4 linked regions of the Lepisosteus oculatus genome follow. The protein of the gene in region 1 interacts with the protein of each later gene in a pairwise test. Links are inferred from orthologs where the notes say so. Each region holds a gene or a part of one and is shown on either strand. Other genes may lie near its edges. The genes, in order: ehhadh, desmin, fundc1 and kctd9a.

Region 1 (7,802 bases):
CAGCAGGAATCCCAGTGAGCCGGGGCAAGCGTTGTGTGCCCCCTGCAGCCGGAAGAAGACCCAGCGTGACTTCTGGGAGTCCTACCCGAGCCTACAGCACCAAGAGCAGGAGAACAGTATGAGAAAGAATGACTTCAGCAACGAACGTCTACCTCCCACTAAAACACAAATGTCTAGATAACTCTGATCACTAGGTACTAAATGAAATTAGACTAATGCAGATATAAATGTCAATTCACTGCACAAACTATTCCCCAAATTAGCAGTAACTTGTGCAGAACTCAAGTCATGTTCAGGAGAAAACAGACAACTCCATTTCCAAAGGGAATTTTCACTCTGTGAAGACCTATTTCTCGCAAAAAGTCCTCTTTATAAACATGATGGTATACAATAAAATACGTGACTTATTCAAGTTCTGAAAATAAAAATATAACCAAATAGTACACACAGAAAATAAAGCGAAACATGTTCAACCTGTCACACAACCAGAAACACATTTTTTTCTCTAATGAAATTATTTGTTTGCAGTGCTACCTGTGACCTACTAGCTTCTCCAGACACGAGAAACCAACAGACCCCTAACATTGTGTAGCAGTTTGATACATACAAGGACTTATTGGCATCTAATGATTATACTGATGGTGCAGGAAAGAGAAGAAATGTCCTAGCTTGCTGGTTGACCTTACCTCGGAGTGAGCGATGCGGTAATGACAGCCCAGAGCCAGCTCCAGCCCACCCCCCAGGGCCACGCCCTCTATTGCTGCCACCACGGGCTTCTCGCCGCCCTCAATCTCGTCGATCAGGGGCACCAGGGCTGGGCCGGACATCGTCCCCGAGAACTCCCGGATATCCGCCCCTGCACCCACAAAAAACATGACAGCAGCTTCTGGTCAGCAAAAGAGACCAAGAACACTGCCTACAGTACATTTCAATGGCAATTACACTAATAGAGGATGAAAAGAATATGAACTGGCAATATTTTTTAAACATTTTTATGAATTTGCACATTTTTTAAGAGAACAAATAAATGGGTTTATTATAGGCCTCTCATATATGAATGGAATTGCTGCTAGGTCATTAATATTTGCCTTTTTTCCAGTCTGGTGAAGCCAGACTTAAAAGCATTCACAGTTTCATGTGCACTGTTTCACATACCATGTTCAAAAATAATCTCCAGCTAAGCTGTGTTTACAGCACTTTCAGGGGGATAAAATCAATGTTACAAAGTCCAAATAGGTACATGACCTACCTATTTCAATAAAATAAATGTGTTTTTATTGATTTTTCATGAAGAGAAGTAGATTTAAAGCATAATGTTTTAAATCCAATGTTAATTTAAATCTAAATGCTTTTAATGAGTTTGGCATTCCTTGAATATTACTGCTTCCAAGGTAATTCAACTGTTTTCTCCAGACTTTAGCTTAGGCTTTACTTAGCTTGTGCCTACTGTTCTATCAGCTCTAGCACTGGCTAGCTGATGTTTGTACCTGCTAAACAACATCTGAGTGTTCAGACAAAGCCCATATATACTGAATATTAGCTTGGACCACACCCGTTTTTTTTTCAGAATTACTAATATATCACAGGCATTTGATAACTTATTTTAATGTTCCAAGTTCAGTTTGTTTACATAGCTCATACTGTGCTCATACTAAGCTATATTTTTCAAGCTAAAGAATGGCCACTCAACTTTCAACCAAGAACCTAACTGCCACTTTGTCAATAACAGACACAGTCCTTTCCTTACCAGCACAAAACATCCTGTTGTCTCCACACAGCACAACAGCTTTTACTTCTGAGTCAGCACCAGCTCTGCTTACTGTCTGACTGATGGCCTTACGTACTGTGGAGCTGGAGGACATTATAACAATCCACATTATCAACATTGCAGTGTTCCCAATGTACATAGCACAGACAGATTCATACAGTGAATTCATACCTCCTAAATTATAGATCTGCATTAAATTAAGAGCACTTTTCACAAATTAAATTAAGTGCAAACCTTCACAAACCAGAAGGTACAAACTGGTGAAGGCTATTACATAGTATGAACTTTATATAATTTCCCTCCTAGTTTCTGCAAGAAAATATTTTGAGGGCTTTGTTAAAGGGAATGTTGATTGACATCATAAATAAACAGACGGACAAGAAAAAAGTGAAGGACAGTTCACAGTTCAAAGACTACATTACCCTTCATAACTTATATAAAGTTTTAAAAGAGGCAATAGGTGTACCGTATGTTTCGTGGTGATAATTTAATAATGTTAATTTATGACAGACATTTATTTTATAAAGCCGGAACACGCAGCTTGAGGGTGAAAACAATGTTGCAGCTCAGTGTACAGTATAGCTACTAAGGGCATACACACCGTTCTTGCACAGCTAGTGCAGATGTCTATAGCAGCACACTTATTTTACATAGTTTGCCCAGTAACCTATGAAAATATTTAACTAAAAAATCCTTACAGTACTTTTCCTTTCAACTTTAGTCTGTTGCGTTGTCAATGACATTACCAGCAAGAATACATAACTATTTTTACTTAAATTAAGCTTACCTGAGTGCATTGACGGGTGGGTTAGTCAACGTTATTACAGCAACGGAGCCAGGAATGCGAGTATAAACTGCCATTTTGTTTTCCACAGAGACTGATAATACTATCGTTCCACTAACAGATGCGCTAGTGAAATACCTACGAAACCTTGAACTTTAACCAGGTGAGATCCTCACCGCAATACGTAAATGTAGTCTGCCAACCAAAACATTTAACCTTATGTTTTTTAGTTGCCCGAAAGGAAGATATGAGTGCACACAGCTAGTCAGATAGGTCAAACTCCCGAGTTTACACAAGTAAAATTCCACACCATTATTTTTGTTTATACTTTTTAAATTTCATCTTTATGTAGATATTAATGGAAGTGAATCGGTTTTCTTGTTGAATGAGTGTCTATATCTAATTGAGCAACGCTTATTGTTAAGAAGCAATACATTTATTGATAAAAGAAACAACAGTTCTCTGCAACATGTTTAAATCTGAGGTTGTAGCATATACGTAACTTCAAAGTCCACGTTTAAAGCTACAAGGCCATGTGCATCTGACGCAAAACTACGCCAGTACCACACTGACTTTACATTGGACTTTGACATCGAGTAGCGTGATGCTAGCTGCATTTAGCGACGCTAGCTTGGCAGAGATATTTTGACGGATATACGTGATCCGTCTTACTGTTATCAGTCCGACTGCTCTTAATGTTCCCCTTTATTTTTGTTACCACAGTAATGTAGTTCCGCTGTCTGTACAAGGATACTGTAGGGAGAGGTTAAGTTGCTCAGTGCTCAAACAACATTGCTGTCACTCTGTAAGTTCCGGAGCTAGAGATTTAGCCTCTGAAGTGCTAGCCCTGGGACCATGCGATCTATATCGGGGTTAATTTTACTGGTCACTGCGGCTACTTTCTATCTCTACCTTCTCTCCACTTATTTGCCCCCGGGGCCGCATCACCCTCGTACAGGGGATGAGCCGGTCAAGTCCAATGAAAACTCGGACCCCGACTTGGGGTCGGAAGAACATAGGTAAGTTATAATTGATACTGCGTTCTTGGTCAGACAAAGACACCGCTACTGCAAGCATTTTGTCTCATTTCTCATCCAGACTCATGGGAAATGTCATAATCAAAAGTTGGCAATTTCATGTTTTCTCGTTTTGTGGTAGTGACCATTATGGAATAATGTAGACATTAAAATTTGTTTTTAGTACCGCGGGGATTGTTGAATAATATTGTACTACGTTAACATTTTTTAAGGTTGAGTATGTGGAATATGCTTTTAAAGTAAAAAATCAACGACGTGTCTTATGAAGGAAGATGTCTGTAGTTGATGCTGTAAGGTTTGAGAAAATAAGTTCATTTAAAAAATAAATGCTCAGTGAAATGTAATAACTGAGTACACAACGAACGCGTAATTCTATGATTTGTAATAATGCTTATTTATTGACACTGTCACCGGGGTGTTATAATCAATACAGACTTCCATCTTTAAGACTTGGAGGGTACAGTAACTACTTCCCAACTACACAGAAGAACCTTACATATACAGTAACAGGCTCCCGCTTTATTTAAATGCGACTAGCATGTATTCTAAACATGGCTGTATTGGTTTTGAAGCCATGCGTTTTAGTAAAACTTTTACTATAGAGCTTCAACTATATCAATTACTAATAACGCGTATTACATCTGTGTGCATGTTAAAAATGAATTTTGGTATGAAAGCGAGCACTCTAGTCGAGTACCTAATCTCCACAAAGGTACGTTTTAGTCTTATGATGCACGTTTTATTTGCGTAAATAATAGCAATAATAATACGACTTTTCTACTGTAATAATACGTGTAGCAATGCATGCATTTCTAATATGGAAATAACTAGACCCAGTAACGACATTCATTTGACTGTACGTTCGCTTTTCCTGGACTGTTGCAGCGGTAACACTGACACCTTTTATTTAATATTTAAGACATCGGTGATGTCGAATGGTCAGGTTTTACATACATTAAGTTTTGAAGATAATGTTCAAAAGCAAGACAAGCACTATGGGTTTAGAGGCATCACGGTATTGATACAATTGATTTTATTTATCTTAGTTAAACATTTTTGAGAAATGTGTTGCCAAATTTGGTGCTGCCATTAAAGGTTTGATAGTATGAAAGAAATCAGAAAAATCAGTCTCCAGTTTGTATGTAATATCCTGTTTTATGTAACCACGGATAGGGTTAGTTTGTAATGTTACCTTATTATTATGATATAAAAATAATGTGTATCACCACCATAGCCCTACTCTTTTAAAGTTATGAAGTGGCTGACAGTCATTTGTATTAAAAGGAAAATATAAAAGTAAGGCCTACACTATGAAAGTGATTAAAGTAAGATCTACATTGCTCTACACACAACATACAGTAAGTTGTGATGTTTATGTTTATAATATCTTGATAGATTTATGTTCTTATTATTTCCTTTCACAGGGTGACACAAAATATATAAAGAATGTATAGCTCAAATTCAAAAGGAGTAATGTAATATGGTCAGTGATTTTCTTCCCCTCTGTGATGATCACCTATTTATAGCACCACGTAACTGTAGATCTTGCTCTTGATCTTGCTTTCTGCTGGGGTTTTCCACAAGATCAGACACCTGTTTTGGGGGGATGGCCATGTTTCACGAAGTTAGTCCCCAACATGTCTAATCTGCAATCCGCCTGATCCCATTTGCAGCACTGCCATGCAAGTTTTCCGACCAAATGTGCTGAGCACCATAATTCCACGTGCTCTAAAACCCGTTTGAGCCACACCATCTCAGAAGTGATAGTGATACGGTCACATAGTATTCAACACCTGTTTTGAGCTAGCATATCTTCCTCAAGGGTTGGGTAAGATTCATAACAGATCAGTCTCGGATTTCGTTTTGTTGAGGGCTGTGTTCTTGTTAGTTTGTTTGGAATTTTAACCATATAAATAAACCAGCCAAGATTGCGCAGTAAACAGTGGTGGTATATAAAGGGGGACTGCTTATGTCAGCCTATCAAATCATCCTTCATCCATCCATTATAAGAAAGCCACTTATTTTTGGAAAGGGTTGGGGACAAACCGGATCTACTGTAATCCCAAAAGCAAAGGGTGCAAAGCAGAACTACACCTGGATGGGATACCAGTCCATTCCAGGAGAAAATAAAGGGAGAGCATGCAAACTCCATACAGAATGCACCCCTGCCTGGCATATATTCAAGAGCTGTGAGGGAGCATGGTCAACTGCTATATCTCAGTGCCAATTTACCAGTCTAATCAATCCATTGTAAATAAAAAATTCCATAGAAGGAAACATTCCATAATGTAGGGAGGAAGGAGCAAACAGTGAGCAGACAACTGCATGTGTTCCCAAAATGCTCGTGTGAGATTTTGTTTCAGATTTTGTTAACTAGAGGGTCTCCACCATTGAAAAGCTGGACTTTACTGTCATAAGACAATCTGTGGTGTAGTCCAGTATTTATTTTTTAAATGAAGTAGCATGGGCAGTCACAAGAATGTGCCTGAGCAGTGCTGATCTGGTGAATAAAAGAAAAGGAATTTTGTTGTTGGTAATTCATCAATATAATCAAGGGTTCCATTCTGTCTGGATTTCCTGTTCTTCAGGCACACATCCCCATGCATTCACCTAGAACTGTATTTTTAACAAATCTGGATGAACAAGTTTTAAACTTCATATTTATTTTATTTATTTTTGAGTATTATTTCTTTCACTTTTAAATTACAGAGTGAAATTTAGAACCTGTGTTTACTCTCCCAGAGGGAACTATGTTTCCAGCTAAAAAGGAATACAGACACATGCAACATGCCACTGTGACCTTGTGAAAAGAGAATGTCATTATGTAATCATTTTGGGCTCAAATAAAACTAGGTCACTTCAGAAAGGACCTGATTGGAAGTAGGCTTGCTGCATTCCCATGAAACACAATGTTGTACTTGCAATACCAGAGAAGGATTCTTTGTTATAAAACAGTGTGTTGTGTAAAAATTATTCCAGACACACTAAAACTAACTGAATGAGTAATAACAGTAACGTTTTCTTTGAAAGGTGCTATAAGCATATTAGGTAAAGCCTCCTTATTCATAAATCCCTTTGTGCATTTTTGTTACTGCAGTGTTATTGGGTCATACTGAATCGTAGGCTAAAGGTGACCTTTGACTGACATTGTGGAAACATACTGTTGATATGCTATCTACTGTATTGGTGATGGAGCAATGGGTAACTTTAAAAATAATAAAAGTAGAGACCTGGACAACTTGTACAAATTAAGAAAGTGGTTCACGACATCCAGATGTGTGAGCTGAAATTCAGTTGTAATTATACATACACAAGGAAAGGGGCCACACGTCCTTAGTATAGATCATGCAAGTCTCGAGGACTATTCAGTAAGTGATGATTATGCAATAATTTTAAATTTTATAAATAATGGATATTTCTATTACCATCATGAATGTGGTTTTCATTACAACTGTGATTACATTACATTACACTTACAATACTGCCTTTTACAGTTATTCATATTTTAGAATTTAAGTTAACAAACATCCCTATATGAATTTCAACTAAATTAATAACTGCAGTTCTCTTAATGTACATAATGTATGGCTGGAAACTGCATGATTAGGTCTATAATAAATAATCCACTTGGGAGCCCCATCAAAGATGAACTTTTTCACAGTATAACAAGAGGTAATGTGTGCTGCCACTTTTAAAAGGTGGCCACTGATGTTACGATGTGAGAAAGCTGATCTTTCAAATCAGGAAGTGATCTGTATGTAAATCTGAGACTTGAGCTTTCCCTCCTGTGTCGTACTCTTGTCTAGAGACCTGTCTGGTTTCCATCCCTCATCCTGTAAGACTGCTATGTCTTCTGCACTAATTCCAGCTGAGTTCTTAATCGCATCCTAATCATTTCCTTAATTCTTTCAGTTTGCTTTTGGTAAATTCAGCGTAGAATGGGATTTGTAATTTGTAATTTGTGAATTTAAGCACTCCCCTTGTTAAGATGTGTGAAATACAAAATAATGGACCCCAGAAGGAACTTATTTATTGTGGGAATGTTTGATCATTGCACTTCCCACACCTGTTCATAAATTGATCACCAGTTAATATTTATTTAATCAGAAAAAAAGGTAAAGCATGTTGAGGAAAGACTGTTTAAGGTTCTATAGGCTGACGTTGGTAACAGAACGCTTAAAGTAGGGTTTTCTTGAAACTCAGACTGTGCAGA
Region 2 (6,841 bases), about 9.0 Mb from region 1:
AAGTATTTTGCCTGTGTTAAAGATGCAGTTTTCAGGTAGAATTCTTATGTGTTGTCCCCATTCCCTGTACAGACTTTTAACTCCATCCATCTAACCTTAGCTGTTTTCTTTGAGGCATTCACTTTTCCATGATTTCGTTACAAAAGGCCTTACTCTTGACAGCAAGCCTTCATTGGTATAAAGTAAACCCTGACTCTCATTCTGTTGGTATCAAAGGAAGGCGTCCAAAATTGTTTTCCTTTTTCCATCTCATAGCATATACTGCAGGTAAATTATATGTCCAGTGTCTATCTCAGGCAGAGTGCATTCCGAGCAACTTTAGAGAGTCATAGGTACAGGAGGTGAGATCCTACAAGTGGGAGAAATGATGTGCAGTCAACTGAGGATGGATTGCTGCCTGGGGTTTTGTAGATTTGTATTGTATTTCACTCCCATATTCACATTTACAGAGGTCACAGCTGGCCTTAGCTTGAGTAATGTTTTATAATAATAATAATAATAATATAGTAATTGCTTACACTTATATACTGTAGCTCTTTTCTGGACACTCCACTCAAAGCACTTTACAGGTAATGGGGACTCCCCTCCACCACCACCAATGTGCAGCATCCACCTGGATGATGCGATGGTAGCCATAGTGCGCCAGAACGCTCACCACACATCAGCTCTCAGTGGGGAGGAGAGCAGAGTGATGAAGCCAATTGATAGATGGGGATTATTAGGATGCCATGATTGGTAAAGGCCAATGGGAAATTTGGCCAGGACCACCCCTACTCTTTTCGAGAAATGTCCTGGGATTTTTAATGACCACAGAGAGTCAGGACCTCGGTTTTACGTCTCATCCGAAGGACGGCGCCTGTTTACAGTATAGTGTCCCCGTCACTATACTGGGGCATTAGGACCCACATGAGCCGCAGGGTGAGCGCCCCCTGCTGGCCCCACTAACACCTCTTCCAGCAGCAACCTTAGTTATTCCCAGGAGGACTCCCATCCAGGTACTTTATCCAAAGGCTGTCTAAAATTCTGCATCTGAGAAGCTCTCTGGTGCACCATGGATTAAGGGTTTCATGCGACGCACTGTTATTCATTTATTAAAACTGTTTTTTCTTTCACAGGATAAAGTGAGTTGATGTACTGTATTTTTAAGGGTATGTAGTACTCAAAAAGAGACATAACCTTTCTGAAAATAGTTGTTTTGCTTTTTGCCAAGCCACTTTTGTCCTTTTTAGCATCTTTTCATTGCTTTTTCAAGTCTCTTGACTAGAATAGTAATGAGGTAAAGTAATTAATACCTTGCTGGAATCTCCAGATTTTTGTGACTGGGAATACAATAGGTATTTTTCAATAGTCAATTCATTTGTGACACGAAGAATTTTTTGATTTGTGTTTTTTCTGCACCTTTATGCTGCTTGCTAAAATAGTTACTCCTGATCAATCTTTCTTGAAGGGAGGAATCCACTCTTGACAGAGATATGTATTTTTCAGAATGATACAGTAAGTAATACTTCTTGCTCAATTCCCTGACAAAAAGATTTTGTAATAATACCCTTTCTGTGAACTGCACAGATGTTCTTTCTGACCTTTACTCGGTTGAAAGGGATCACGTGATGGTTAAGGTCTGAGAGTATGATTGTGGTAGGTCAGAGGTGGTGCAGTTTGATGGACTGAAGTAATTCTGAGCCATAAGCTGGGACTACATTTAGCTGCTTGCTGCACTGAAAAAAAATAACCCAGTGTTTTCACACAATGTGTCCACGACTTGTTGCCCTCGACTGACAATTAGACATTGATTAATGACAAAGTGGTCATGTTAGAATTACTGCAAGTTGTCTGTAGATGCTCCATTATTTTCTGATCTGCTAACACAGCCCTCATAACAGTGCTGTGCAGAGATTGAACCTCTGCCTATCACATTCTGCTGCTTTTCAGTTATGATTTAGTTCCCCACTCACAGTAAGCATGGTCTGTTCTGTCAGTAGGTATGGGGAGCTTTCAATCATAAATGGCCACTATTTTGTGCAGGCTGTTCCGTAATTCACCACCTTATTTTTCCCCTTTCCTTTAGGTCTGCACAAGAATTCTCAATATGTTTGGTATATCATCCATCTATCCAATTTCTAATCGTTTCTTCCAATTCAGGGTCACTAGAGAGTCAGAGTCTATCATGGCAAACAGGCATAAGGCAAGGTACAGGACAGGAGTTCATTGCAAGATAGTTTGGTCTGTTATTGAGAAAGTATTTGATTTGTTTTACTGTAGATTTAATCACAGTTTTGTGCATCATATTTCCTTTTATTCCAAGCTGCCATTAAACAGGAAAAAAACCTTAATGGAAACTCTCGTCTGCAGACCCTTTGGTTCAGTTTACTCTTTGCTTCACTGTCTTTGTTGATCAATAAGGAGATCAATAAACTAACAAGGGATTTGTCCTGTGTTTGAAATTGCAGCAGTGTTCCTGCATTTTTGTAACAATTAAGCTGCGGTCAAATGTGTGGTTTCAGGTACTTAATACCATTTAGCATGGTAACAGTGCGAGACCCACGTTTTATATCTTCGCAACACAACGCTGTTGTGTGTTAATCAAACTGGAATCAGAAGATACAGCATATTAATATTCAGGACTACGTTGAAAAATCTGCTGTGTGCTTCCACTAGACAAAATTAGGATAAAGGAAAAAATTGCATCTTTTGATCTTAAGTGCTTAATAGAAATAAGTAGCGAATGCTGTCTTTGTACTGAAAATAAGTAGATTTCAATTTTACCAAACATACTGTGAAGTGAGGATATATTTATTGTAAATGCTACAGTACTTCACAGTCAGACTTTCTAAATGAGAGATATTCAGTAATTCAATAATATCCATACTGCATTGTTTTTTATTCCCTTTTATGCTATAGTTTACTGTGGCAGATTGCTGTGCAAAGTGTAATCTTGCGTTGACTGAACATATACAGTATGTAGTGATGGGTATTTGCATACAAGGGATATCTCACAAGAGGGAAGATATGTCTATTAATGTTCTGTGGTAACTCAGACCTTTTAAAAATAGCCCTTGGGTATTATTTGAGTTTAGGCTAATGTTTTTTTCAATTATTCCTTCAGCATAGGGTATTATCAGAGACATATTATCATCAGATACTAAAGTATTATTAGTGCATACTTGGTATTTAGCTCTTTATCTCCTTATGTACCAATTTAATTGAAAAGGATGCTGTAAGATATTAAAAACTAAAGATGGATGTGTTGTTATCTCAAGTGCCAAAGGTTGTACTGCATAGATTTGTATTCCTTCATCACAGTCTACACTGTTAAGCACTAAGTGTTTCTTTCTATCTTTAATCTAACACATCCTGGATTATATTATAAAACCAAAGAAGAGTGCACAGGCCATTCAGTGCACCTCCAGCAGTACCCGTGAAGTTAAATTAGAAATTTCATAGCTATGTTTTCAGTTTTGTTTTCAATTTGTAAATAACTAATGCCGTTTTTTTGTTTCCAGACAATCCTGCATCCAACCCAGTGAAACTTTGCTGACTTTAGTGGGAAACTAAGTGATCTATTTTTCGACACGCTTAATGTTTAATGACCAACACACACTTAAAGGACTGCTGAGAACGTGGTCTGAAGGGCCTAACTCAAGATGGCTCTTCCTGAGAAAACAGCATTTTCTGCTTCCCCTCGGAAAACACTGGCTGTCTGAGGTGGAGTTTGAGTGTATGAGCAGGCCCCACAGCACAGGGCCTTCATTGTTCCTTCCAGCTGTTTTTCTTTTCTCCTGGCTGGCCTGACACAAAGCAGACCATGTTAAAATAACACTCGCCACCGGACGCTAGGACCTTGAATGTCTGCGTGGGCGCTGAGCCTCCAGCAGCTGACATCAGAGAGAGTACAAATACCAAGAGCCTGCGACGGCAGCCCTCACTTGCCAAGGTTTCTGCCACAGGGTGCAGCTCTCCAGAAGTCCACAATGAGCCAATCGTACTCTAACACTCAGAGGGTCTCCTCTTACAGGAGGACCTTTGGAGGTGGAGCGGGGTCCCCCAGTCTCTCCAGGGCCACGTACTCTGGAAGAGGGTCCACCAGCGCATCCTCGACAGCGTCCAGGGTCTACCAGGTGTCCAGGAGCTCGGCGTCCCCCAGCTTCTCCACGATACGGTCCACCCGCATGACCCCCGTGCGCTCCTACGTCGGCGGGGGGGAGACCCTGGATTTCAGCCTGGCCGACGCCATGAACCAGGAGTTCCTGCAGACCCGCACCAACGAGAAGGCCGAGCTACAGCACCTCAACGACCGCTTCGCCAACTACATCGAGAAGGTGCGCTTCCTGGAGCAGCAGAACCAGACCCTGGTGGTGGAGATCGAGAAACTGCGGGGCCGGGAGCCGACGCGCGTGGCCGAGATCTACGAGGAGGAGATGAGGGAGTTGCGCCGGCAGGTCGAGGTGCTCACGAACCAGAGGTCGCGCGTGGAGGTTGAGAGGGACAACCTGGCTGATGACCTCCAGAAGCTGAAGCAGAGGTGAGAACAGGAAACGCAGATAAAATCCACACCTGACAGCTCCGCTCTGTTCTTCTCCTGCTCTATTTTATAATTTCTGCCAAAAGGCATCTGCCTTCTCATTTATACACGCTACGCAACATTTTCATCGGTCGAGTTTATAGGAATTGCAAATCCACGAGGTAGTATTTGTAACGTCTAAAATCTACTAGATGAGGAATAGCCTTTTGTTTTCAGGTAAACTTCAGACCAAAAAGAAACCTTAAATGGTGACTGATTCAGTTATTAAACTCTTTGAGAGTTTCAATAATTTTCATGCAAAAATTACATTTTAGTATTAGTGAGGGAAGTTTTATGGTGGAAAAAATGTATATGAAAAGATGACTGGGAAGATTCAGAAAACTATTTTTTTTCATAAAACACTTGTGACTAATATAAATATATTTTCTGTTATTGCAGTTCAAACGTTTTTAAAACTGTGTGAACTATATTGATGAGGGAAGACATCTTAACCGTTTTTATTGTGAACTGAAAAAGCATCAGAAACCCCCCCCCCCCAAATGAGACTTGATTAGTTGCTAACTTAACTATGAAAAAAATGTATTGCCTGTGTTAGCTTTATCTTGTCTCAAAGTTTCTCATTTACTGAACATACGTTAGATGGGGTTGAAAAAGTTAATCTGGAAGTTGTTGATTTTTTCTTATTCTTTCTAGAAATTAGGGGTAGAGAGACTTGAACATAGAATGGAAGAAGGTACTGTACAGTTGACTCAAATATGAAATTAATGGTAGGGGTCTGAGGATCTTTAACAGTAGTAAAGCAGATGACGGGTATATCCTTCGAGACATTTTATTGTTAAAGCCCTTTCTAGTCTACCTCCGCAGAATTAAAAGAGCTCAAATACAGTAATTAAAAAATCTAGTAGAACATGAAGTGTTTGACAGTACAGTGTCTTCAACCCACAAAATGCTAAATGTCAGTGTGTGTGTGTGGTTCCTAAGCACAGTACTGGAATAGCGGGTAGCATTTAATTTTGATTGATATAAAGTAAATTATCAATTGGATTGAACTAATCATTACTTGAAATTGCATTTCATTGCATTTTATGGTGTGTATCCTGTCTGCTATGTCACTAGTTGTTCTGTCTTGAAGAACCTACAGTATGTCTGAATACATTGTGAAAATATGGAGTAAAGGGTGTGTGATATGCTGTCTTTGAACAGTAATCGAAGAAATCCCATTAGTCAGCTCCTCAATCAGGGTTTGCTTTCTATTTCTGATTGTGTTCTTGAATGGAAAAAAATAATAATACAGTTCTCTGCGTATGTATTGACTTTGGATTTATATATTACAGTGTGATAATTAGCTTTGTGTGCTGGGTCACTTGTACAGCTTCTCCAAGAAACAGCTGGATGAGGTCTTTGCATTGATTAGATGCTAATTATTGAACGGGCTAAACAGGTCAAATTGCCTCAAATCATATGTAACATTTCTTATGTTCTCAAGCAGGGACAGCTCATACTATAATTTCATTTTTTAGAGATTAATGACTAAGTTTTAAAGAGACATCAAGAGACGCAGACTATAAAATCAGTCACATTCATACTGTCACAGACAGACAAATAGAAGAGACAACTGTGCTTTAAAAAGTAATCAAGACGGTTATATTCCTTTGAAGTTTGAAGTACTATTAGGTGAAAAAGATTTTGTAGTGTTTAAAGTCATCTGTATTAAAATGCCTTGAATATATTCGACAAATGTATTAATTTGTATCTTAAGCCAAAATATAACAAATGCAGCTGAGATCCAAGTTTCATTTGTTTTGATTTGGATTTTTTTATATCTATATATGGAATTAACAATGTCATACCTAAGCAATAAGCTTGAAGTGAATATGGAAACAGAGACGTTTTGCAGATAAAGATACAGCACACGAAATCCAATCATCATAATAATAGTCATTTTAAAGGCTGGATGATTCAACTTTTGAGATGGAGATCAATGATAACACAAGTGCATCTCATCTTTACCATTACAGCCAACAAGAGACAACCATAAATTATGAATAATCTTAGTCTTTAGATTGAGTTTGTAAATCTTTATTTGACCTACAGTACATAGTGTACAAAGGATATCATTATGTACTGGGAAATGGACTGGAGCAGGGTTTGTTTTAAACTATATTCTAAGCTATTTCAGTTCTGTATTACAAGACAAATACAGTACACTGCTGTGCAAAATATTTCAGACATCAGGAGCTACAATATTCGTGAGGGATGTTAATATAGACATACATGGACAATTGTTTCTGCATAAACTGAAATTACTGACAATAACAGAGC
Region 3 (7,787 bases), on another chromosome or scaffold:
ATTTAGGAGGTGACCAGCTTCATCCACCACTAAAGGGCAACCTCATTGCACAGCCAATGAGGGAGAGAAGTGAGAACCTGCTTCACCAGTTGAATTAAGGGGAATTTATAGTGAGGACAGATGATAGAAATTGAGTGGAAATTGGCAGGATCACAGCCCTTAACAACCCCACTCTGATGAGCTGTGTCCTGAGATCCCTAGTGACCAAGCAGCCAGGACCCCAGTTTAACGTCTGGTCCGAAGGATGACACTTCCTACAGTCCAGTGTGCCCTGAAAACCCTGCAGAGCTGCTCTTGCTAGGAAGGTTCTGGTCCAGAGGGAAGTGTGCCCTCTATTGGTCCAGTTGTATCCCAGCTTTTACACCTGTTCATAGTTTCTGTCTACTCCACCTCATCTGCTGTGCAGTGGAGCTGCTGTTTGTCAGACAAGTGGGGCTGCGTGTCAGTGGCGGATGAAGTGGGTCCCTTTTTATATGCAGATCACTCTGGAATCCTTTCACTCTCTATATAAAGCTTTATATAGATGGTTTATATAAGGGTGTTACCCGGGCATCCTGGATAAATTTCCCATTGGCCTTTACCAATCATGGCTCCTAATAATGCCATCTCTGAAGTGGCTTCATCACTCTGTTCTCCTCCCCACTAATAGCTGATGTGTGGTGAGAGCTCTGGCGCACTATGGCTGCCGTCGCATCATCCAGGTGGGGCTGCACACTGGTGATGGTGGAGGGGAGTCCCCATTACCTATAAAGCACTTTGAGTGGAGTGTCCAGAAAAGCACTATGTAACTGTAAGGAATTATTATTACATAAAGTAACTCTGAAAGAGACACTACACAAATCCTTCCATCTATTTTCTGACTGCTTTATCTAATTAAGGGTTGCAAGCCAGTGTCGGCAAGCAGTGGGCACAAGGCAGGATGCAGACTGGACTGGATTCCAGTCCACTGCAAAGCGCACACTAACACAGACACAGGCACATTCACACCAGGGCCAGTTTTCCCAGAAGCCAACAAACCCGCCAGCATGTCTTTGGACTGTGGAAGGAAACCGGAGCACCAGAGGAAACCCGTGCAAACATTGGGAGAACATACAAACTCCAACCAGATGGTACCCCAGGTCCAGAATTGAAGCCAGGGCCCCCGTGCTGTGACATAGCAATTTCCCTCACGGGATCAATAAAGTATCTATCTATCTATCTATCTATCTATCTATCTATCTATCTATCTAGCAATATTAACCACTCTGCCCCCGTGCTGCCCCTACACAAATCCAATTATGTATTAATTAAATTGCTGTTCTTACTCTAAACCCGAAAGGTGTCATTCTAATCAAGGAATTTATTCCTTGACCTTTTGCCTTTGGCCAGTCCAGATTATGATTCAGGTTACACCAATGCCGGAGGCTGTATCTGGTCTCATTTCTAAGGATCACAAGATCTCTCACTTTCATTTAGAACACCGCTTGCTGGAAGCCCTAAAGCATATTAGCCTTTGGGCCAATATGTTAGAGGTCTCACTGGCCAATCAATAACAACCACCTCAAGGAATTACAGTAAGTGCAACCCCAGCTCTGTAACTCTTTGACATTTACTGTATTACCCACCCACTGCAAGAAGCATTTAACCTTAAGAGAAATTTAAAACTAAATGAGCCAGATGTGCTGAATGACCTCTTCTCATTTGCAGTAGCACACTTAAAAAAATACAACCTACTTTTTTCTGTATCCTCCATCATTCAAAACAGCGCCACACACCGTAAACACTTGTTCAATTTACATGTGATGAGATATATTGCAAGCTAAACATTTCTCAGGCCTGCACAACAGCTCACAAAGATAACAGATTTTCTATAACATGGATGTTTTATTCTTGGAAAGGGTCAATCAATCCAGAACAATCAATTAAGCCCTGAAACAGTAACTGGACTACCCCTGGACAGGACAGTAGTCCATCACAGGACACAAGACAGGACCGCACCCTGGACAGCACACCAGTCCATCACAGGACACAAGACAGGACCGCACCCTGGACAGGACATCAGTACATCACAGGTCACAACACAATTGGACAATTTAGAGACAAATTAATTTAGGCAGCATGTCTTTATGAGGGAGTAGGGATGAAGAACACTTGCAACTCCATTCTTACAGGAAATCTCAAGCTTTTGCACCCCAATGTGCTCATTTTACTGGATAAACTCAAAACTGGACAAAAAGAGAGGGACAGAACCAGCTAAAAATAAATGAATAAAATACAGTAATCCATCTGTGCAATCAAACAATTCAATCTCAAACACAAAAGAAATTAAACACGCTGATAAAAATTAAACAAGTAGTAAATCTGGACCCATGGACATAGAATGTATAATTTCTGGTCGGCTTAATGAAACATCCAGATGATTTCCTTCACTTAGGTACAAAAAATTAAATGTGCTCTATTAATTAAAATCATACAAAAAATGTAACCTTTTAATGAAATACCACTCCAAGGAAACTACAGCTCCGATATATCCTAAAACTCTTGATTTATGATAAAACTAGATGATACATTCTGAAAAAGTAACATGCATATTAAAAGTACTATGAAAATAAAAACACATTTATGTCCTAGGCTACAGTACCAATATCTAAAAGCTAGAATAGAAGATCTGCAAAATTGCCAGAGTATTATTTCAAACCTTGTAATTTTGTCATTTAAACCAAAACCTTAATCTCCTTCTTTATATCATTGGGCACAGATGGGTTTGTTTTTCTTATAGTCCTGTGTTGACAGCCGTTGTGATACAGCATTGTGATGGCAGAGGTAAGAGTGACAAGCCAATGAAAAAATGTTAAAAGCATGGAAAATTATAAGAAGAAATTATATATAACATTTTGTAGTTATTAATTGATCAAGCTGTATGTTGAAAGACAGGATATCACCTTCAGCAACAGGGCTGGGTCACTTGTTCCCTACCCCAACTACCCTTTGGGTAAAGACATGCACTTAATTTTAGTTTCCACTTGTGACTCATGTTTTGCTTTTGATTCTCAAGTCAGTGGCTCAGAGGATTTTGAATATTTCAACCAGGTCACCTCATAGTCTTCTGTGTCCAAGACTAAAATTTGTGGCTCTTACTGATTATGCAAGACGTCATCAGTGGTTGAGTCATGTCTCAGGCCACAATTCTGGACCCATCGCCGAGAAATATTCTGTTTCACCCCCAGATCATGATGGCTAGAGTAATTGGCTGAATAACTTCACTGAGATGAGGAGAGCCAAAGTCTGTGAGTTTTATAGAGAGTGGGGCTGGGCTACATCAGTCCTGACTTTATTAAAGTACTCACTCAGTTGGCCCTAGTTATCCCTTAATTAAACTGATTGAACTACAGAGGGCATTCACTTTTTAACACGGGGATATTTGATGTGGGATTACTTTGTTTATAAAACAATTGAAACAAGCACCAAATGCTGGTGTTATTTGTTCACGTGGTGGTGAAACATTCAGTGGTGAAGTTAGAGAATCTGAAAGGGAGCAAACACTTTTTTTTGCTGAACTGTATACAGACACTTTAGAGGTAGTTTAGATAAGATAAGATCACTTTATTAGCCATATACAATTTCTTGCAATAGGAATTTGTCTTTTCGCATACCCCACCTTGCTCTCCATGAGACACACAGACAGGGAGAGAAGCTTGGGGTCAGGGTGCTGGGTCAGCCATTTATACAGCACCCCTGGAGAAGCTGGGGTTAAGGGCCTTGCATAGGGGGCCTCAACGGAGTAGGATTCCTCTGCTGGCTGCAGGATTTGAACCAGCAACTTTCCAGCCACAGGCACAGATCCTTAGCCACAGAGCCACTGCTCCGCCCAATTTATTCTTACACAGAATCCTCTTGTGATGATGATAATGTCTTTCTGTTATTTCAGACTTTCCTCCTCTTTCCTCAAGCATGCTGGCATAATGACATCACTATGAGTGGTCTGGTCAATTTTGAGTATATATGTTTTAATAGGGATGACTTAACAATGGAACAGTGACTGTGTTTAGCATAAGTTAATTATTAGGAACACTGCTGTGATATCTGTGTTAGCCCAGCCAGCTGTGTAAATACACTCATTGTTCCACATCTTCAGAATAAGGTAACATTGCTGGGAACTACAAACGAACAGCTAACCAACAACACGTATCTATAGTTTATATGTCTACTACCTGGATGTAACACGCTGCTATTGTATTCGTGTCAGAAGAACGTAAATGACGTAAATGCCATATGACAGATGTGTAGTTTTTTTATTTTCCTTTTCTGCTTTCACGCTGTTTGCTAAACCTCCTGTTTTGGTGTCGTCTTCGAGCTACTCGACTGATTATATGAGAATCTAGATCACTCATATCAATTAGGAAGGTATAATAAAACCGGGAAAGGTAAATGCAGTTGCAGCACAAGGTAAATTTAACCTCTTGAGCTTGAGAGCTACGATAAACCACAAGAGCTGCAAAAGCCACGGTGCAAGATGGTAACGACACAGGACAATTGAGAAACAGTCACGCCAATATCCTGTGGGTAAATCCGCATATTTTGCGTGGAGGTTACAGTTGAAACACGTGACAGGGACCCAGCGCCGGATAGTAATGGATGCAAGTTGAATATTGAGATTGTTACTTAATACATTTTGCGAGGTTACTTGTTGCAGATTTTATTGTTATATTGTTAAATAAAACAATATTTAGGACACGTAAAGCTGGAAGAAAAACAACTTTAAACATTTGTAATCCATCTTGGAACTCACGAAACGCCAGAGCTGCAGAAAGAAAAAAGATGTCCTGGCTCTTTAAACAACTTGAACCGAGGTGGAGGAGGCGGAGTACACCGGGTGCTTGGCACTGTCAACATCCTGAGCAGTTGACTGCAAAATGGCGGACTGCAGAGAAGGTTAGTAGTGCATTTGTGTTTTAGTGGCATTTAAACAAAAATGGAGCTTATTAACAACGGTGTCTTTAGGAATGAACAAATACAATCCTGTTCTTGATTTGCTAGTCTGTGCGTCGTCTTTTGAGGAAGTGAAATTGTAGAATTGTAGAATGAAATTGTTATGTTTACATATACATTCAGACTGTTAGCTACACTACCTTCTAAGAACTGTATTTAGATTTTCGCGTTTTGCCGCATTACAAAATGTTAATGGCTAAAGTAATAAGGAATTGAGCTGGACGGAACGATTATACGGTATACGCAATGTTCTGATAATATACAAGATTTTGCTAAACTAGATGATTCTTCAAATCTGGAAGTGCAAACTTAGACCGTTATATGAGTCATATCAATTAAAAATGTTAAATCCCATTGTTATAAAACGAGCTGTCATGTCAAGGGCAGTTCAAGTGCCATAGATATTGATCCATATGTTCTTCTTATCCATGTAATAGTGTAAATATGCAAACTCATCACCCAATTGTTTGTATATTATGTTGCATTAAAAGCAATCCCATCCAGGTATTAGCCAGGCTCACACCTGCTGTGCTTCAGTGGGTTGCCAGTTGTGCATTCCAGGCTGATGTAGCTGCCGACAATCATTTTATCTCAGCAGTCTACATATGCCCTCTTACCTCAGTGGGGAACTTGGAACTGGTGTCTACTTTCGTGTCTGCCATCTTAACGTTTGATATTGTTGAACTGGGGAAAAATAAAGACAATCCAATTCCTATAAGAACAATACAAATATGACTATTAAGTGCCAGTCAAAAGACAGAATAAAGCGACAATTTTCTTACTTAGCCGAGGCTCCATCATACCGATGGCAGAAAGATATTGTTCCCAACATAAATGGGACGCATTTGTTTTTTTTCTGTGTTTATGGTTTCTTGATTTTCCCTTTTTGTTGACATTCAAATGGTTAAATTACCTCATCACCCATATGTGATCAGCTTTCCCCTTATTGAGCTGCTATAGTGCTGATCCAGCAGTCAAAGTCACTGGAGTGCATAACGGGCAACATGAGCATTCAATAAATCAAAATGACCCCAAAACAATTACTCAGTCTCCCAAATATGTAGAATTTATTTTTGTGTGTATAAAACAAACCTGCATGAAAGATTCATGGTGCTCCATGTTTCTTCCCACAGTCCAAAGACACACTGGTAGGTTAATTGGCTTCTGGGAGAATTGGCCCTGGTGTGAGTGTGTTTGTGTCTGTGTGCCCTGCAGTGTACTGGTGTCCATTGCTTGTCAGGATAGACTCTGGCACCCTCGTGACCCTGTACTGGATAAAAAGCATAGAAGATGGATGGATGACATCTGCATAAATTGAGTGATTGTCTTCTGCTCAGTATTTTATCTAGCAAAGTCATAAAAAGTAATCTGAGCAATCTGTTAGGGATAGCCTTCTGTCAAAAGGGAGAGCCTTCTGTGAAATTATCAAGAGTTTATCCTTCGTTAGATTGCCTCAGAGAAACAAAAAGAGTTGATTAATACATTTCGGTCTGAGCTGCAGCGAGGAGCTCTTTAGATAGAAGGCATGATTATGTCATTCCTGTTAAAGACAATTTGTTTGTGCTCATTGGTATTTTATATGGATAAAACTCAGTGCATTCGTTGGGCGATGACACTGTCTATCATGAGTGGTGGTGTGTAAAGATGAACCGAGAGTAGCAAACTGACACGCATGGTTTTGTCTTGAAATGCTAAGACAGTGACGATGACTCGTACGAAGTGGTGGACCTTTCGGATTATGCAAGACGCCATCAGTGGTGGAGTCGCGTCTTTGGCCAGAATTCTGGACCCATTGCCGAGAAATATTCTGTTGCAACGCAGATCATGATGGGTGGTGTAACTGGCTGGTAAGTATACAGACTCTTTAAAGGTACTTTATGGATTTGTCTTAAAGTACATATATATTAGGTTATTTCACTTAAGTAAAGAAATGAGTTCCCATTGGAATGCCTTTATCTGTACATAACTACTTGTATAATAATAGCTAGAACGCTCATTAGCTATTAGTGGGGAGGAGAACAGAGTGATGAAACCAATTCATAGATGTGGATAATTAGGAGGCCATGATTGGTAAGGGCCAATGGGAAATTTGGCCAGGACGCCGGGGTTACACCCCTACTCTTTTCAAGAAACGCTCTGGGATTTTTAATGACCACAGAGAGTCAGGACCTCGGTTTTATTCTCACCCGAAGGACGGCGCCTGTTTACAGTATAGTGTCCCTGTCACTATACTGGGGCATTAGGACCCACATGGACCGCAAGGTGAGCGCCCCCTGCTGGTCCCACTAACACCTCTTCCAGCAGCAACCTTAGTTTTTCCCAGGAGCTCTCCCATCCAGGTACTGACCAGGCTCACACCTGCTGAGCTTCAGAGGCCTGCGAGTTGTGAGTTGCAGGGTGAAATGGCTGCTGGCGTCTGCTGGATATCGTCTGCTGGACAGGAGCTTCTTTAACGCAGCAATAAGATGCAGTGCCAAGTCAGGGCTGAAATGTGAGTTTTCCTGCCCCCCCCCTTCCCCATAATCAGCACAGGTGTGCAAGGGGGCTCCCAATTTGCTTGTTCAGATATCAGGCAGCAGCAGCGTTACGGGCTTGTAGCTTGATCTCGTCGGATCGCAGAAGCGGAGCAAGGCTGCACCTGGTCAGTACTGGGATGGGAGATCTCTTAGGAAAAACCAGGTTGCTGCTGTAAGTTTAGCTCATAGACCAGCTGTTCTCTCTGGACAGTTTGGTGACCTGGGCCACTGCTACCGTGTAGGAGGTACCATTCCACTAGACTCTTGCAGGTCATGTAATATCTCAATGTCATTGATTATGTG
Region 4 (7,561 bases), on another chromosome or scaffold:
ACAGTGGCTATATGTTCCTTTTTCTTTCACATTTTTCTGTTTCTTTTTTTTACATTACACTGAGTGTGTTACAACTGTGTTTATGGGCAACAGTGTGTCAATAATACATAAATAGTCATCACCCCAGCCTCAACTCTGAAGCCTAGCAGTGCTAGCCAGGGAGCAGGCAATCAGCAAAGGATTTTGGTGGGTTAGTAGGTGGCGCTTGGTCGTTTTGTATCTCCAGTTCACTGGCATGGTGATAATATGGGGGAACTGTGCTGCAGTAAGGGCAGTCTTAGGATAGACATCTCTGACATTTGGACTTAAAAATAAAACCTTTCTGCAGTGAGTGCAGTGTTGCTCACGTTACTGACAATATCAAACCCAGTCCAGGTGCATGCAATATGATTATCTGTTATGATTATTCTGCCACAACCCCAGCCACTTCTAAGCAGTTCCTGCAGCCTGTCACATGCCCGTATTCTCTCTCATTCTGTGCAGGGGGTCAATCCTGGCTTCTCTAGACACCTTTAAGAAGATGTGGGTCTCCAAGAAGGAATATGAAGAGGATGGAGCTCGCGCCATCCATAGGAAGACCTTCTAATAAAAGACAGGCCCCCCCCAGCCCCAATCGTTCTGGTTCAAATCCAGCCCCTCCACCTTCCCAAGGCCCCTTTCCCACATTTTACAGGGAGAAGCCAGGATCCTTGAGCCCGGCATGCCAGCTGATGCCCCTCTACACACACACTCGTGGGGCATATCAGCCAGGACTGGCAGAAGGTTCGGGCAGACAGTCTTGGTCAATTTCCCATCCACCCGCCCCAGATCTGTCAAACACAGCAGGCTTTCAGACACAGCTCCCTCTGTAGTGGACTCTTATATTTGTACATTTGGGCGAAACTGATGGCTGCATTCCTAAACGAAAGCATGAAGTATTTATAAAGATGTTAATCTAAGCCCATGTGATATCATTGCTCTTTCTAATGAGTTGTTTTTGCCATTAATGGAAGTTAATGTTCTTGTTAACTGGATAAATTCAGTTCTACTTTGATCACGTTCTTGTTTTCTTTTCCATGTTCCAGTCTTTACAGTTCTGCAGCGTTGGTGAATGTTGAAAGAAATGGGTTGCTAGCCCATTTTTTTAAAAAAATCTTCATTTTTAATAGTTGTTTGTCAGTTTGACTATGTTGATAAATAATACACAGAAGAGCACTGTACAGCTACACTAATCAGGACCAGTCTATGTGTGGTAATGGTAATGGAGTCATGCAGCTGGGCAGGAACCTCCCATACAGTTTTAATACAGTAGAGTACTGTAGAGTCCAAGCACAAAACATTAAACACATGTTTTTCAGTAGATAGCATTGGAGCTCCAATACTGCCCTGCTACATAAGCAGCAATTCAAAGCAACATCCACTGAAAGATTTCCTCTAGAACCCAGGTTCAGTGCTGTCAGCATCTCTGAAAAATGTCACAGATTCTCATGGGATTTTGTTACCTCATAAAGCATGCAGATGTAGCTTGTGGTGTAGAGTGCAGCTTTTGCTTTTTTTTAGCTAGCTTTTCGAGATGTGGTTTAGTTTTGACTTTTTTCCTTGCTTACATTCCACGTTTTACACGCTTTGATTTGCTTTTCCCATTTTATACAGTTAAAGGAAAAAGTGAGCTGAGGAAATAGTGTTTGGCTAACGTGTTCATCAGCAGTTGTGCAATGCCCTGCTATAATTGCAAAACGATCTTATTAATAACTTAGTATAGCTTATTACCCCTTTGACCATGATACTGTTTGAAGTTCTCCGTTTGTATCTTTGTGTCTGTGTAAACAATTTAAAACTTGAATTTGTGGCCAGGCTATAATTTGAGATTTGTATGTCAGTTTAATTATCCATGAATATTCATTTCCAGCCATTAGTAGATGTGTCGGAGAATGCAATCTGCTTCTCACCAATTCTCATTATTGGATGTGGAAATGATCAACAATCAGTATGATCATTGTTACCTCTTACAGGTATAAAATCAATTGAAAAACATGTCTCCTGTATTAGACGTGATAGAGTTATTAGCATAATATTAAAATATAAACATTCCCCTTGAATCTTGACACCTGAAGACAAGTTCACCTAGCTGTTGTTGTCTTTATGGCTTTCTGAAACTTGTACACTTTCCATAGGATGCTGAGAATGAGTGGTCCTTTTCATTGTGAGTTAATTCTCAACTGCCTGTGCGTGCATCTGTTGCTGTGATTAATGCTTTAGGCGTTTCATTATTAGGGCACAGATAATGGCAAGTTAGCAAGGCATGTTCTGTTTTGAGCTATATCCAATCCCTAACCGTAAATTACTTTTGTGGTATAGAGAGAACTCAGAAATCACAATTCTGTCCTTCAGATTGTCTGGTTAAACTCAAATAATTAAAGAATATGTAGATTAAAGTAGGGAATAAAATATGTGGATTGAAATTGTATTGGGATTAAGTAGTTAAATTGAATTATTCATTGACTGCCTCCTTCCAGATAATGAAGTCCAGGAGGAAGATCATGTGAATGGGTTTCAGAAATTCTTGGCTATCTTTCAAGCAGCATTAAAAAATGTCCAACAGCAGTTTGAAAGAGGCTAAAAACTCACAATAAATGGAAAATGTCTGAAAATCTTACATGTTTTATATTGGGGAGATATTTGCAGTATTTTAATACTGCAGCCTGTTACTACTCTACCATTTAATGCAAAGATTTAAATGATATATTCAGTGTCTGAAGAAGTGTGGGCTGTTTATCATGGTAAGATGTGAATGGCCATTCCAAAACAGATGAACTTGGCTTGCAAAAATATTTTCAGCTGTCAGTTTAAATCTGCAGGTTACCTTGGACTTTGAAGTCCTTCAATCAGCTCCAAAGCAGTCACTGTGGGTGGTCACCTATTGCACTTGTAAATATTCACCATCAACACTGTTTTCCTTCAAATATTTGTGCTAAATCCTCATATCTTTATAAACGTCAAAGTGGAGTACAGATAGTGGAATTGTAGGTGTGCTGTAAACCTTTTGTCCAGGAGGCACACTGTATAGCTCAACAACCAAATGGACTTATGCTTCTGATCTTGAATAACAGAGTCCAAGCCCAGTGATCCTTTAGATTTAGGGGGAAGGTCTGTCTCTAGAGACAATGCCCTCCATTACACATAAATGATGAGTTCTGACACTGAGGTTCTGAACAAATTCATTTTTATGCTGCCTTAAATGTTTGAGTTGTTTCTCCTGTCTCCTTAAAGTCAAAACAAGAATATTTTTTCCCTCTTTTGAATTAAATTGTCCATCAGTTAATGGGAGGAAATAACGGTTAGTAAAGTAAAATTAAATCATGACTCAGCTGTCACGACTCTTAAATGATCCCTTAGTTATTTAAACTGGAATTAAATTTTCTGTACTTGCATTCCAAGCACCGTGCTTGTTTATTGTTTGTTTAATTTGCAGTAGAGAACTTGCAGTCCTATTGAAATCGTTTGAAAATGTGGCTGTCAATTATTGTAAAATTGGAAAGGTTGATTTAAAACCTTAAGCAATGAACACATCCAACCAAACACAGCAATCTATGCAGTGAGGTGATGAATCCCAAGCAGAACAGAAACACGGAGAACTTGCAGCCCTGGATGACGAACGGAATTGGCTTAATCTTTGAAGCGTTTTGCTTGGTGCAGCGTTTGTTATGTCCGAGTCCGTCCTCCGCGATCCCAGCCACGTCCCCTCCTGCCTTCTCGGCCCAAAAGCCTCTGCGTCTGTATTGGGGAAGCTAATTTGCTCTGATGTTTTAAAGCAGGTGAATTCATCAGCCTTGTATACAGCGGATAGTATTGTAAAATAAACACATGCCCAGAAACCGAAAACTGAAATGTAAAATATATTGGAAGTGTTGCTTTTAATTTTGTAAATCTAAATAATAAATTAATGGTTGCTGATTCCGTCTTTTTGATTATCTTTTTTATTTTGTAGACCGCGGAATTAATCATTTCACCCCTCATGCTGATAATTTCTACTATAATAATTTTCGGTGTGTTGAGAAGTTGGATATGCTTTAAGTTGTTCAAACTGGACCGCTTAACGGTGCTGTCCTCAGCATCCAAGAAAATGTGGAGAAAAAATACGTCGGTTCCTTTTCTACAAAACATCAGAGATTTTCAGATTTGAACATAATTGTAGAGCATTAAGCATGACAATTTATGAGGCTCAACGCATAAATATCACCTCCGATGTAATACGGTACGTAAAACATTATTAACTGAAAAATGTTTTAATACTTCTCAACTAAAACTTAAGCGTGAATGAACTTGGCTTTTTTGAGGCAGGCTAGTAATTATGGTAACTCATTTTAGTCTCATTCAGTGAAGTGCAGTTTCCGTGACGTTGACAGAATGATTTTAACTTTAAAATACATGAGTCATAAATTTCAGGGCAACCGAACTTGCTGCTTTCTGTGGTTTTTCTTATTGGTTTCATTGTGTTCCTGGTTTACATTTTCTTGTATTTGGTTGGTCGCGACAGTTCACCAGGTGTATCTCCGTTTCGTGATTGGGCGATGGCGGAGTGATGAGCTTCAAGCATGGTAGTCTGTCTTCTGTGAAAATTTCCACTTCTTTCATAGGCAGTTTTTTATAAAGTTGTGTTTTGTGTAAATATTTATTATAGTTTTGTAACTAATATCTTAAGCTACATACAAAGAATGAGGAGAGTGACTCTCTTTGTAAATGGAACTTCCAAAAACGGCAAGGTAAGAAATATTAACTATTATAGTTGTAACAGCTTGCTTATAAGATCTAATTTATTCAATCATGAAATGAAAAGTCACCTCACTGGTACCGAGCATTAATTAGCATAGCTTTGTAACAGTTATTGTTTGTACTTACCAACGTGTCGTGCTACTCAGTCCCTTAACGTTTGCAAAATCGACAGTTTTAATGAGCTAAAACAATCTTAACTGTATGTGTAAAAGATTTTAGTTATCTGCTCGTAATCATTCAAGCAATAGTTTAGTTACTTGAGTGGAATTATTATTAAATACTTTTGAACATTGCTGGTGGAACGTGAATTTTTGTCCAAGTTTTAGGGCTTTAACAGAGTGAAGATTTTCTCTTGAGATTTGCCTGTACTTTGCTCCATCCATTTTCTCTTATATATTTGCTTTATATATATATTATATATATTGCATTTGCTTATATATTGCAGTTGTTGTATATGACAGTTTGGTGCAATGAATAATAATTCAAATATCATTCCAAAGGTTTTTTATGTATATGTGTTGTGTGTTTCTACTGTTTTGTTGAAAGAAGCATCAGTATTATCAATGAAATAGCGTGGCAGCTGATAAAGTACACCTAGACCTGTCACTTTTCATTATTGGAAGAGACACTTCAGTCAAAGTCGTACTACATATGTGAAGGATGAATAGAGATCCATTTGTTAGCCTGCTCAATATAATCTGAAGATTAAAATGGGTGGGTTCTTCTGTAAACAATATTGACATCCCTAATACAGTTAAAGTCCTAGTTTCCTTAGAGATATAAAAGGTCTTTCCCTGCATGTGTCTCAGGTAGTAGCAGTGTATGGAACTTTGGCAGACCTGCTGTCTGTGGCGAGCAACAAGCTGGGAATCAAGGCTTCTTGTCTCTACAATGGGAAAGGGGGGCTCATTGATGACATTGCTCTCATCAGGTAAGGAGGAGGTAGATATACAGAATCTGAAGAATTCATTCAAGGCCAATATGTATGGTGACTTTTTAAATGAACTTTTCCAATGTTGTAGACCTGAATATTTAAACGGTATTCCGTATTTTGACTTCATGTGGGTTTTAATGCTCCCTTTGGGTTTTCAGATATTCAGATAAAACGGGGTTGCTAAGCCCATTTGGCGATAATGACACATGCTTGTTATTTGATAGTTGTATGCTGTGACCTTTCTGTTAGGCAGTGCTGTTGTTATATTGCAGTGTGATTGAGTTATTTTTGTTCATCCTGCAGGGACGATGATGTGTTGTATGTTTCTGAAGGAGACTCTTTTGTAGGTGAGTCCTGCAGTTTTTAGTGTGCCTTTCACCCTAAAAGAGATATAGGTTCATTAAGTGTCATCATCTACTAAGGAATTGTAGGACTCAACTGGGTGCTAAAGCTGTTATAGGTCAGAAGCTTCACTGCGCTGCAGTCTGTGGAAATACTTGAAAACTGCTGTCCTAGGTGGAGAAGAATGAATTTGCTTTACCTATTGAATTAAAGGGAAACTTTTGGTAGGCCAGATTGAATATACCCTTTAGGCAGGATGCTTGAGTTTACACTCCTGCTCTACTGAATGGAGCTGAGGGATCTTTTAATAGCTAGGTATCCAGGAGCTTGGCTTAACTTCTCATTTGAAAGATGGGCCCATGCCACGCAGTGCCCCTGGTCACCATGCTGGGGCATTAGAATCCTGGATATTCTGGTCCACGGGAAAAAGCGCCCCCTACAGGTCCACGAGCACTGCTTATAGCAGCAATCTGGTTTTCAGTACTAGGCTGGAAGAACGCCACTGACCACTTTCGTCCTTGTTTGAGATTTCACGAGATCAGGCGGTGATGTGGTAATGAAGCCAAGTGGGTTTGTCACTTAGTCTGGCACCAGACTTCCCTCTCCGGCAGCGGTATATTTTAAGTCTGTGTTTTTGTTGTTGTTCGTGTATTGTGCGGTCGTCTAATTTCATGCTTTGCCAGACCCCCAGAATGAAGAGAGAAGTTCAGATGAGCTCTCAGGTGCCCACACCGACTGGTTAACGCTAAACATTGGGGGACGGTGTTTCACAACTACACGGTAATGTGCCTTTTAAGAATGTTGCAGCACTGATCTCTCCACACTTCTGAAAGGGAAAAAAAAGATATTGAAAATAAAGGAAAAATATGAATGTGGAGTAAATGGAGTTTTGTTTTTGCAGCACTTGATGTTTCTGCAGACCTTTAAGGAGTCTTTTCAGAAATATTCTTTTTAGAAATATAACTATGAAATACATAATTAACAACAGCAATTAAGAAATCTCTCAATCAGTAATCTGTGTGGGTATAAGCTGTGCAAGCTGTTTATTGTGTAATCCCCATTTGTGTTAGGCCCTTTGGCTAAGATGAAAAGGCAGGTATGTTCGCATTGCTATTTTCAACTCTGGGCAGAGGTCAAAAACCCAGGTCTCACCCCTGCAGGCTTGCACACAACAGGGATACTCCTGCCCCAGGCAGGAAACATGCATTACATTTGACCACAAAAAAAAACTAAGGGAAAAAATCCTTCTTTGAGACTGAATATATTTTCAAATTAAATTACACAGTAGCAACTAAGAGCAACAAAAAGAAATTCAGCAGTTATTCTCTCACTCGTTCTCATGTCTTCATTGCTCTGTTGAAATGATCATTGTTTCATTGCCCACAGTGATCACTTTTGTTTGTATGAAACATAGATCACCTTTTCTATAGCCACCATCCCCATCATACCAAATGTCATGCGTTCATACCAAGTAACCTCAAACAGTTACATATAATGTGAAACATGTTGCTGCTCCTTGTCTTGGACAAGACA

What was found.
Region 2: the proteins of ehhadh (region 1) and desmin interact in binary tests that used the Homo sapiens proteins (3 or more experiments, as listed by UniProt). The two-hybrid records come from large-scale screens. The link is inferred for Lepisosteus oculatus from reciprocal best matches to the Homo sapiens genes EHHADH and DES.
Region 3: the proteins of ehhadh (region 1) and fundc1 interact in binary tests that used the Homo sapiens proteins (3 or more experiments, as listed by UniProt). The two-hybrid records come from large-scale screens. The link is inferred for Lepisosteus oculatus from reciprocal best matches to the Homo sapiens genes EHHADH and FUNDC1.
Region 4: the proteins of ehhadh (region 1) and kctd9a interact in binary tests that used the Homo sapiens proteins (3 or more experiments, as listed by UniProt). The two-hybrid records come from large-scale screens. The link is inferred for Lepisosteus oculatus from reciprocal best matches to the Homo sapiens genes EHHADH and KCTD9.

Annotation. Positions count from the first base shown.
Region 1 is NC_090707.1:24,619,362-24,627,163, reverse strand, and holds the start of ehhadh (peroxisomal bifunctional enzyme), read right to left. Parts: upstream 3,021-7,802; 5' UTR 2,630-3,020; coding exon 2,556-2,629; intron 1,852-2,555; coding exon 1,748-1,851; intron 857-1,747; coding exon 687-856; intron 92-686; coding exon 1-91. Other genes in the region: transmembrane protein 41A-B, read left to right, coding at 3,408-3,571. UniProt on the Homo sapiens protein: Peroxisomal trifunctional enzyme possessing 2-enoyl-CoA hydratase, 3-hydroxyacyl-CoA dehydrogenase, and delta 3, delta 2-enoyl-CoA isomerase activities. Catalyzes two of the four reactions of the long chain fatty acids peroxisomal beta-oxidation pathway.
Region 2 is NC_090707.1:33,665,617-33,672,457, forward strand, and holds the start of desmin, read left to right. Parts: upstream 1-3,827; 5' UTR 3,828-3,842; coding exon 3,843-4,519; intron 4,520-6,841. UniProt on the Homo sapiens protein: Muscle-specific type III intermediate filament essential for proper muscular structure and function.
Region 3 is NC_090710.1:3,610,860-3,618,646, forward strand, and holds the start of fundc1 (FUN14 domain-containing protein 1), read left to right. Parts: upstream 1-4,787; 5' UTR 4,788-4,892; coding exon 4,893-4,911; intron 4,912-6,664; coding exon 6,665-6,815; intron 6,816-7,787. UniProt on the Homo sapiens protein: Integral mitochondrial outer-membrane protein that mediates the formation of mitochondria-associated endoplasmic reticulum membranes (MAMs).
Region 4 is NC_090697.1:72,398,666-72,406,226, reverse strand, and holds the start of kctd9a (BTB/POZ domain-containing protein KCTD9a), read left to right. Parts: upstream 1-4,538; 5' UTR 4,539-4,694; coding exon 4,695-4,742; intron 4,743-5,561; coding exon 5,562-5,683; intron 5,684-5,989; coding exon 5,990-6,033; intron 6,034-6,711; coding exon 6,712-6,808; intron 6,809-7,561. Other genes in the region: actr1b (actin related protein 1B), read left to right, coding at 484-586. UniProt on the Homo sapiens protein: Substrate-specific adapter of a BCR (BTB-CUL3-RBX1) E3 ubiquitin-protein ligase complex, which mediates the ubiquitination of target proteins, leading to their degradation by the proteasome.